Linked DNA regions of Daphnia pulex. The protein of the gene in region 1 purifies or fractionates together with the protein of each later gene. This does not show direct contact. Links are inferred from orthologs where the notes say so. Each region holds a gene or a part of one and is shown in the gene's direction. Other genes may lie near its edges. The genes, in order: striatin-interacting protein 1 homolog and striatin-like.

Region 1 (4,447 bases):
ATCGGACAAGAAACGAAAAAAAAAAGAAATCCAATAGAAAGAGGAGAATCGAAAGAAGAGAAAAAAGAGATCAGGTCTGCTGACTTTAATTTGGAGACCAACAGAGAAAGTTTTGACCAAGAAACGACGCCAGATCTCTCCGGGAGAAGGTCACGATGAGTCAAGACTTTCTTTGCTCTCTCTCTCGTCTGTTTTCATCTTTCCATCCTGTTTGAAAAATCTCACCGGTTTCTCCTCTCCCTAGTTTTCTCTATTTCAGCGACTCTCCTACTCCGCGACTAGGAGACTCTCGTTTGGTGTGTTGTTCATCTCTTTCTTCAGTCTCTCTTTTATTTTAGCTCGACCGTGAGCGTCTGTAGAGGCTTTTATTTTCAGCTCCAGACACGGCGTCTGACGACATCCGTTCAGTGCGACAGTACTGCAAGCCCAGGGTCTTTAAACTTCAGGGAGAGAGGAAAAAAAACACACACACGAAATAAAGGTCGAGTATCATACGTGACCCAAATAAGGTTTCTCGTCGATACCCGTCCTTTGGCTCTTACATGTTCGGCAGTCCCGGCTGAACACATACGTTTGCCACCATGTGTATGTGTAACTTCATCAGTTCAGGCGGGGCTTTTCCAACCTTCGCAACCTCCTTTCTAACCCTCTCCAAGTTAAAGCATCGCGTTACAATTTGGTCCACGCTCACAGACACGATGTCCACCTATTGGCTGCATTGAGCCATGGCTAATGGGCTTAGGAGATTTATTGTTATCAGATTTTTTCAGTTTTTTATTTTATATTTTTTTCCTTTTCGAGTTTCTCCTGTAATGGAGGTAATTAAAAAAGATACGTACCGTCTGAATAGTAATAACATCGTCGAAATCCAGGACGATCGATGTGCAAGCTGTCGTTTGTGGTTGCTCTATGTATTCCAATTCCAGAGTATAATAGGAGGAAAATAGCCCTTGTGGTTAGAGATTTCCGAATTTTCGTAACGGTGACCTGTTTTGACTCCAGGGGCTTCCATCGATTGGTTTCTCTTGGATTCTAAAATCCAAAAAATCGAACCATGTTTTTGTCACGTATAGGCAATATTACACTTTTGGTTCTGCTGTTATCGATCGTTCGCCGAAATGTACGATTCAGAAACATTATCCTTGATCCTGTTTGAATGTACGCAGTTTTGCTTTTGGAGCAAGCTCAATTTTTTTTAAAGCTGCATATTCCGTTTTTATTGTCTGCCATCATCGACCAAGTTCCAGATGATTTCAAACCGTACAAGGAGATCTCTGGTTTTTGGCCGAGGTTTGGTTTGGAAGGCATTGGCTGGTGGACGTCGCGCGGTTGGCGATAAATCGTAATGAATGCCCCCTCCTCCAATCAAGGATTCGACGTCTGTTCTTTGCTTCCATCGTGAAGCGTCGTAAACGCTGTCGAGACAAAATCAATGATGCATTTACCCTAGTCGAGTTGTAATCGTGGCCGCTAGGTGGCCCCACATTCTGAGAGATTGTTTATATCCTTTCTGGAGAGGGAAGGGAGATGTCAAAAAGTAATTTTGTTTCATGGTATAAAAATAAACTGGCCCGAAAAGTCTGAAAATGGATGAAGCCGGCGGTGCCAGGCGAGGCCCACCTAAATTGCGAGAGATTCTTAGAAGACAGCGTCAAGATTCAGAGGTTTGTAAATTTATTTCATGAAATTGGATACATCGTATGAATTTTTATCGTCATAGGGAACTATTGACTGCCCCGACTTGGATTTCGTTTATGATGATGCTGACAAACATCCTAATGAAACTGCTGAGCTTTACAGTTACACAGAAGGACCAGAGTTCCAATCAAATATCAGAGTATGCCTGGCATTTTGACCTAAAGATGCTGATCAACTAAATTCTTTTTTCATCAGGCATTTGAGGAGTTGATGGAACTCTTCCACATTAGACCCCATTGGCAAACTTTGAATGATTCCACTAGGGTAAGTGTTCTGCTTAAACTAGCAGAACAACTGGAGCTGAGTAACAAAGCTTTGAGGATAAAAGCAGCTCGAGCAATCCTCTACATTGCTCAAGGTTGCTGGGGTGAAGTCCAGAGTGATGCTGAGCAACAGCATTGGACTCGAAGCAATGTTCTCTTGCTGTACAAAACTGGAATTTTTCACACATTTCTGGAACTGCTAAACTATGAAATTGAGTGAGTACTACATATCCTATTATTACAAGTTTATTTATTAAAAACAAACTTCTGAGTACAGAAACAGTGGAGCAGCAAATACTGCCATAAGAAAATTAGCTGTCAGTCTTGCAGATAGCTGGGATCTTCGTGTAATTCTGTCGGTATTTTACACGATCGTTGAAGTCTTCCGCTCCTCCCAAGAAGAGGACAGTGACGAATTCAAGAAGATTCAAGAAGAGTTTCGAGCTGAAATCGGTAAAAAACATTCATTGAGTTACTCTGTATTAGATCCTTCATTGTTTCTTTTGATCATCGATGATTTCATTAGCTCAGCCCATCAACGATGAACTGTTAGCTGTAAAACTTCTCAGTATGGTCACAAAATTCTGCAGTGGATCTTGCCCGCATTTCCCAATGAAGAAAGTATTGCTGCTGTTATGGAAAGTGCTGCTTGTATCTCTTGGTGGAATGAAGGAACAGAGAGAGTTGAAAGGTTTGTGCCAATTGTAATTTCGTCCATAATCATTTCCATCTATCATTTCCTCCCATCTTTTCAGGGAAGTATCGTACCGAGGCAGGTCTGGCATTGCCAATAGAAGATACCATCGAAGTAACACGGACCATGCGCGCTGCTTCACCTCCTGCATCAGCTGCTGATCTGTTGGAAGCTCAAAATCAGAAACCGGGTCCAGCTGCCCGTCCTTTCCGACGGGTAAATTCTTATCCTTTATTTAGCATTCGATTTGTGACAAATTGTAATCTTGATTTTTCTTTGCAGACCCTAGTCAAACAGAGTTCCTTAGATGAATCACTAACCATGGAATTGGACAATAACGATCAAGCCGATGATGAGTTGAGGGAAATAGAAGAACGAAGAGCCATGGAAGAATCGGGAGAAATACCTCAGCCACCAAGCCCACGACCTACGACACCAGCACCAAGAAAGGGTAGCATTCACTATAAAGAACAAATTAGCACCGGAAAACAAAAAAAAATATATCCTTTCTATCTTTTAGCACTACCATGGACACCGAAAGTTCGTCAAAAGGATATCGATCAATTTCTCGATACCACGCGAATGAAATTTGTAGGTTTCATGCTCCCCAACGATCGAGTATCATTAGCAGGACTTCCTTTGCCAATTCATGAGGGTGTGCGTGTCTTGAAACAGGTAAGGCACGTGTAAAACTGATTCCATCCGTTCATTGTGAGTAATGGTGATATTATTTTGCATAGCACACTTACTTTTCGTTGACGGAGATCCAAATCCAACGAGAAGAGGACATTAACAAAAACCCGGTTTCCAAAGGGCAGGAGGACATAGCGTTGACTCCGGCGGAAATCCTTTATCAGGTCTAATTTCTGATCCTTTCTGTTTGCAATATGTATATATATATTATTTCTTTTCTTTCTCTTTTCAAAATCTGAAATACAGGCCATGTTGCCGAGCTTGCCTCAATACATGATTGCGCTTCTGAAAATTCTTCTAGCCGCCGCTCCGACCTCCAAGGCAAAAACAGACTCTATTAATATTATGGCAGACGTTCTGCCCGAAGAAATGCCGTAAGTGTTTTTCTAAGAAAAGAAACGTAATTTTGTACCGATGGCCATTTTTAGAAAACGGGGAAATCCATTTGTGCCGACCCCGAAAAAAATTTCCCTCGCGCCTCAAGGCTACCATTCACTATTAATGCGCCATTTTTTGCCTCTTCTCTAGGATGACTGTTTTACAGTCGATGAAATTGGGTATTGACGTGAATCGACACAAGGAAATCTTGGTAAAAGCCGTAGCCGCCATCCTGTTGCTTCTCCTGAAGCACTTGAAAATGAATCATGTTTACCAGTTCGAGTTCATGTCTCAACACTTGGTATTTGCAAACTGCATCCCACTCGTACTCAAATTCTTCAATCAGAACATTATGGCCTACATTGGCGCCAAAAACAAGTAAGTAGTAGACGATGATTCATCAGTGTGTCGATATTCTTTTCCGGCTGCTAAACGGTTTACGTGATTGCAGCATCGCTATCTTGGATTTCCCTTCGTGTGTCATTGGCGATCAGCCAGAGTTGACCGCCGAGAGTTTGGAAATTGGTACCAATCTTCCCTACTGCTGGCGCAATCTCTTCTCATGCGTCAACCTTCTGCGCATCCTTAATAAGCTGACTAAATGGAAACATTCGCGCATCATGGTACGTTATCGATGTAGGCGTGTAGACTTAATCTTATCATTCATTTACATTCTTCAAGTCATGGTGATGACTGCTTGTTTTTTTTTCTGTTTTGTATG
Region 2 (3,149 bases), on another chromosome or scaffold:
GTTAATACTCTTTCCCGACATGCATCCCTCGTAAGGCCATTGTTAATATTTGACTCTTCCATTTATTTCCCCCAGGGAGTGGAGGATTCAGTGTTTGGACGGCAGATCAATCGTGTTATTTCACATCCTACACTTCCGTTGACCATAACAGCCCACGAAGATCGACATATCCGCTTTTACGACAACAACACAGGGAAGCTCGCACACGCAATGGTTGCTCACTTGGACGCTGTCACTTGTTTGGCCGTCGATCCAAATGGGCTTTACCTACTCTCCGGAAGTATGTCGTTGTTGACAGTAATCTCTTTACGTTTTGATCGTCTTAACGCCATCCGTTCAATTGAACTTGCAGGTCACGACTGTAGCATTCGACTTTGGAATTTGGAGAACAAGACATGCGTTCAAGAGATCACGTCGCACCGTAAAAAGTTTGACGAGTCTATTTTCGACGTTGCTTTCCATCCGAGCAAGCCGTTCATAGCCTCGGCTGGAGCCGACGCCCTGGCCAAAGTCTTTGTTTAGTGGAGAAAGGACACTCATAACCAAAACAAGAAAGGAGAATGCCATTTTTTTTTGTTGGATTTAATGGTAAAAATTAAATTGCGAGAAGAAACTTCAACAAAAAAAAAAAAAAAAAAAAAAATTACAAAAAACACAAAAACAAAAAGGCAAACCAAAAAAAAAGCTTCAACAGAAAGTCGATGAATAAATGCAGCGCGCATGTGCGAATATGCTCGAGTCACAGAACGCGGCAGTATATACAGCAGTGTTGCCGATCAGAGAGATATCTATCAACATGAAATCAATTTATCCAGGGCTGCAATGAAGTGATAAGAGACTACTAGCCCGTGTGCAATCTATGGCGATTCGGTATAATTTGTGTTGACAGCAACAGCATCACCAGCAACGGAGGAAACGACACAGGAAAATAAGGAGAAAAAATGCAACAACGTGAATTCATCAGATAAAAAGATTGGTGAACTCTCAGAAGACTTCTGAATTTTGATTCTACACCCCCCAGTCCCGTTGATTTTCCGTTTTTTTTTTTCCTTTTTTTTTGTTCATTGTTGCTGTTCTATCATCTCACAACTCGACTCCGACCTTAGCTATAAACCTTTGAGGGAAGAATAACGTTGTACTTTTAACCCGTCGTCTGTCTGGAAAACTTGTATCTTTTCCATCTTTCTTATCTTTAGTCTCGTAATATCTATCTCGCCCATGCTTCCGCCCCACTTCATTTGTAAAAAGACAAAGCGAAACAATTCAATTCCTCCGTTCAACTAGTTTCAAGGGGGGAAGAAATATTTCGATTTTTTTCTCTCTTCTTACTGACATTACCTCTTGAGTTCAATAACTTAACGTCTTTTAGAAAATATTCCACCCCACCAGTTATATATATATAGAACTAGGCCCTCAAACCGTGTGCATGTCTCATAGAACTTGTAGCTTCTTTTTACTTTACACACAAAGAAATCGTAGGAAACCAACTCCTCTGTTCCCTCGCGTTCTCCAAGGATCCACACGAAAGAAAAGTTAACTCAGTGTTAAAGTAGCCTTTTTCTGTTGTCAGTTTTTCGTCTTCTCTTTAAAAAAAAACTGTACAAATAATGTGTGGTTCGCGAAGGTTGGTTTTTACGGCTGTGAGCATTAAACCAAGGAGGTTGCAACCCTTACAATGGCTCCGCGAATGATTCTGTGGGGATATCCTAGATCAGATCCTATTCAGTGACTCAGAACAACTTTCAAGGCAAATTGATTAATGAAGAAAAAAAAAAGCGTTTGTCTCGTGTAATATTGTTAGCTCCCTTTCTCTGGTTGGCTTCAATGTGGCGTTTGGAAATCTTATTGTTTGTTTTTAAAAAATGTCAAGAGTTTGGGTTCTCGTGCATGTCTGTGAAAAATCAGTCGGGAAAAGTTTTATTCCGGAAATTACTGATAATGTTTTACACCCACCTCCTCCCACATAACAAACGTCCTTGTTGCTTGCCGTGCGTTCTTTTTAAATTTGAATCCCCTCCCGTCTTGTCCCTTTCCAACTGTAGTTATTATTACGAGACTAGGAAAAACTACTTGGTAAGTATGAATGAAAGAAGACGTTCGGTTTTTCCCTTTGGGTGCGTCGAATTGTCATCGCCTACTAATCGTTGACTGAAGAGAAGGAACAAGTGGAAGAAAAGAAGTCAAGTGAAAAATACAAAAAAAGAAATACAAGTGGATAAATGTGTGACGATATCAGTTGGGTAGATTTTGCTATTCTTGCTGCTGCAACCATGTTCTCTCAATGTAATCTACGATTCGAACAACAAAAAGTCTATTATTAGGGCCCCGACTTAGTGTGCGTGAAAGATCCCTATTCCCCACCTTCCCCTATTCCCACAAAAAAACTCAATTTCAAACATTGTCTGATTGAAAAAAAAATACACATTGAACTAATTATATTTTGATTTTTATTTAGAAGAACCACTAATGGCTGGTTTTCCAGAATATAACTTGTATGTTAATTTCATAGGGACATACATACATGCGTAATTAAAATATATACGATGCAGTGCCCTTCCACCAAGGCAGCGGCGAGCAGGTATTAAAAGTTTTAAGAGTATGCTGTGTGTGCTGGAAGTATTTACGATAGGTGGTGGTGAATTGAGACTGATAGCAGAACACCCGATCAACATCAATGGTAAAAGATTACAAAAACTCATCACACCAATCTGACAAACATTGGTGACAATCTCCTGCTTGTTTGGCGTTGGCTCCAGCTGTGTCTTTGAGCCAATCCACGAAAAGCTCTTTGTTCTTCTTTAAGACCAGGAATTGTCCCAATACAACAGATGCCTGCATATGTTAAATGGATTTTATTAAATTGAATTATATTGATTTGCTGGTATTGAGAGAGTGTAATTTATTTTTTTTTACCTTATCAAAGCCTTTCTTTTCTAAACGATCTCCTAGCACTCCTCCAATACCAGCAAGATCTGTAACAGCTTTTTCTCCCATAGGCTCAGCTACAAAGTTACGATGCTTCTGTGAGGTGGACGACATTCTGCAATTCAAAATAAAAATGTCACTCTTGGCATTGAAGAACTGACAAAGAATCACTAGCAAATCTAGTTTATAACAACATTCTTTGGAAGGCACACCAAGAATCAACA

What was found.
Region 2: the proteins of striatin-interacting protein 1 homolog (region 1) and striatin-like purify together in Drosophila melanogaster (affinity purification with western blotting; 4 studies listed by BioGRID, with this or other methods). This does not show direct contact. The link is inferred for Daphnia pulex from reciprocal best matches to the Drosophila melanogaster genes Strip and Cka.

What each region holds. Positions count from the first base shown.
Region 1 is NC_060018.1:2,549,394-2,553,840, reverse strand, and holds the start of striatin-interacting protein 1 homolog, read left to right. Parts: upstream 1-1,415; 5' UTR 1,416-1,586; coding exon 1,587-1,664; intron 1,665-1,720; coding exon 1,721-1,837; intron 1,838-1,893; coding exon 1,894-2,177; intron 2,178-2,238; coding exon 2,239-2,414; intron 2,415-2,487; coding exon 2,488-2,652; intron 2,653-2,716; coding exon 2,717-3,106; coding exon of another isoform or gene 3,107-3,175; coding exon 3,176-3,330; intron 3,331-3,395; coding exon 3,396-3,512; intron 3,513-3,594; coding exon 3,595-3,722; intron 3,723-3,876; coding exon 3,877-4,104; intron 4,105-4,177; coding exon 4,178-4,349; coding exon of another isoform or gene 4,350-4,412; intron 4,413-4,447.
Region 2 is NC_060020.1:3,948,911-3,952,059, forward strand, and holds the end of striatin-like, read left to right. Parts: intron 1-75; coding exon 76-280; intron 281-352; coding exon 353-522; 3' UTR 523-2,436; downstream 2,437-3,149. Other genes in the region: barrier-to-autointegration factor-like, read right to left, coding at 2,686-2,832, 2,914-3,039.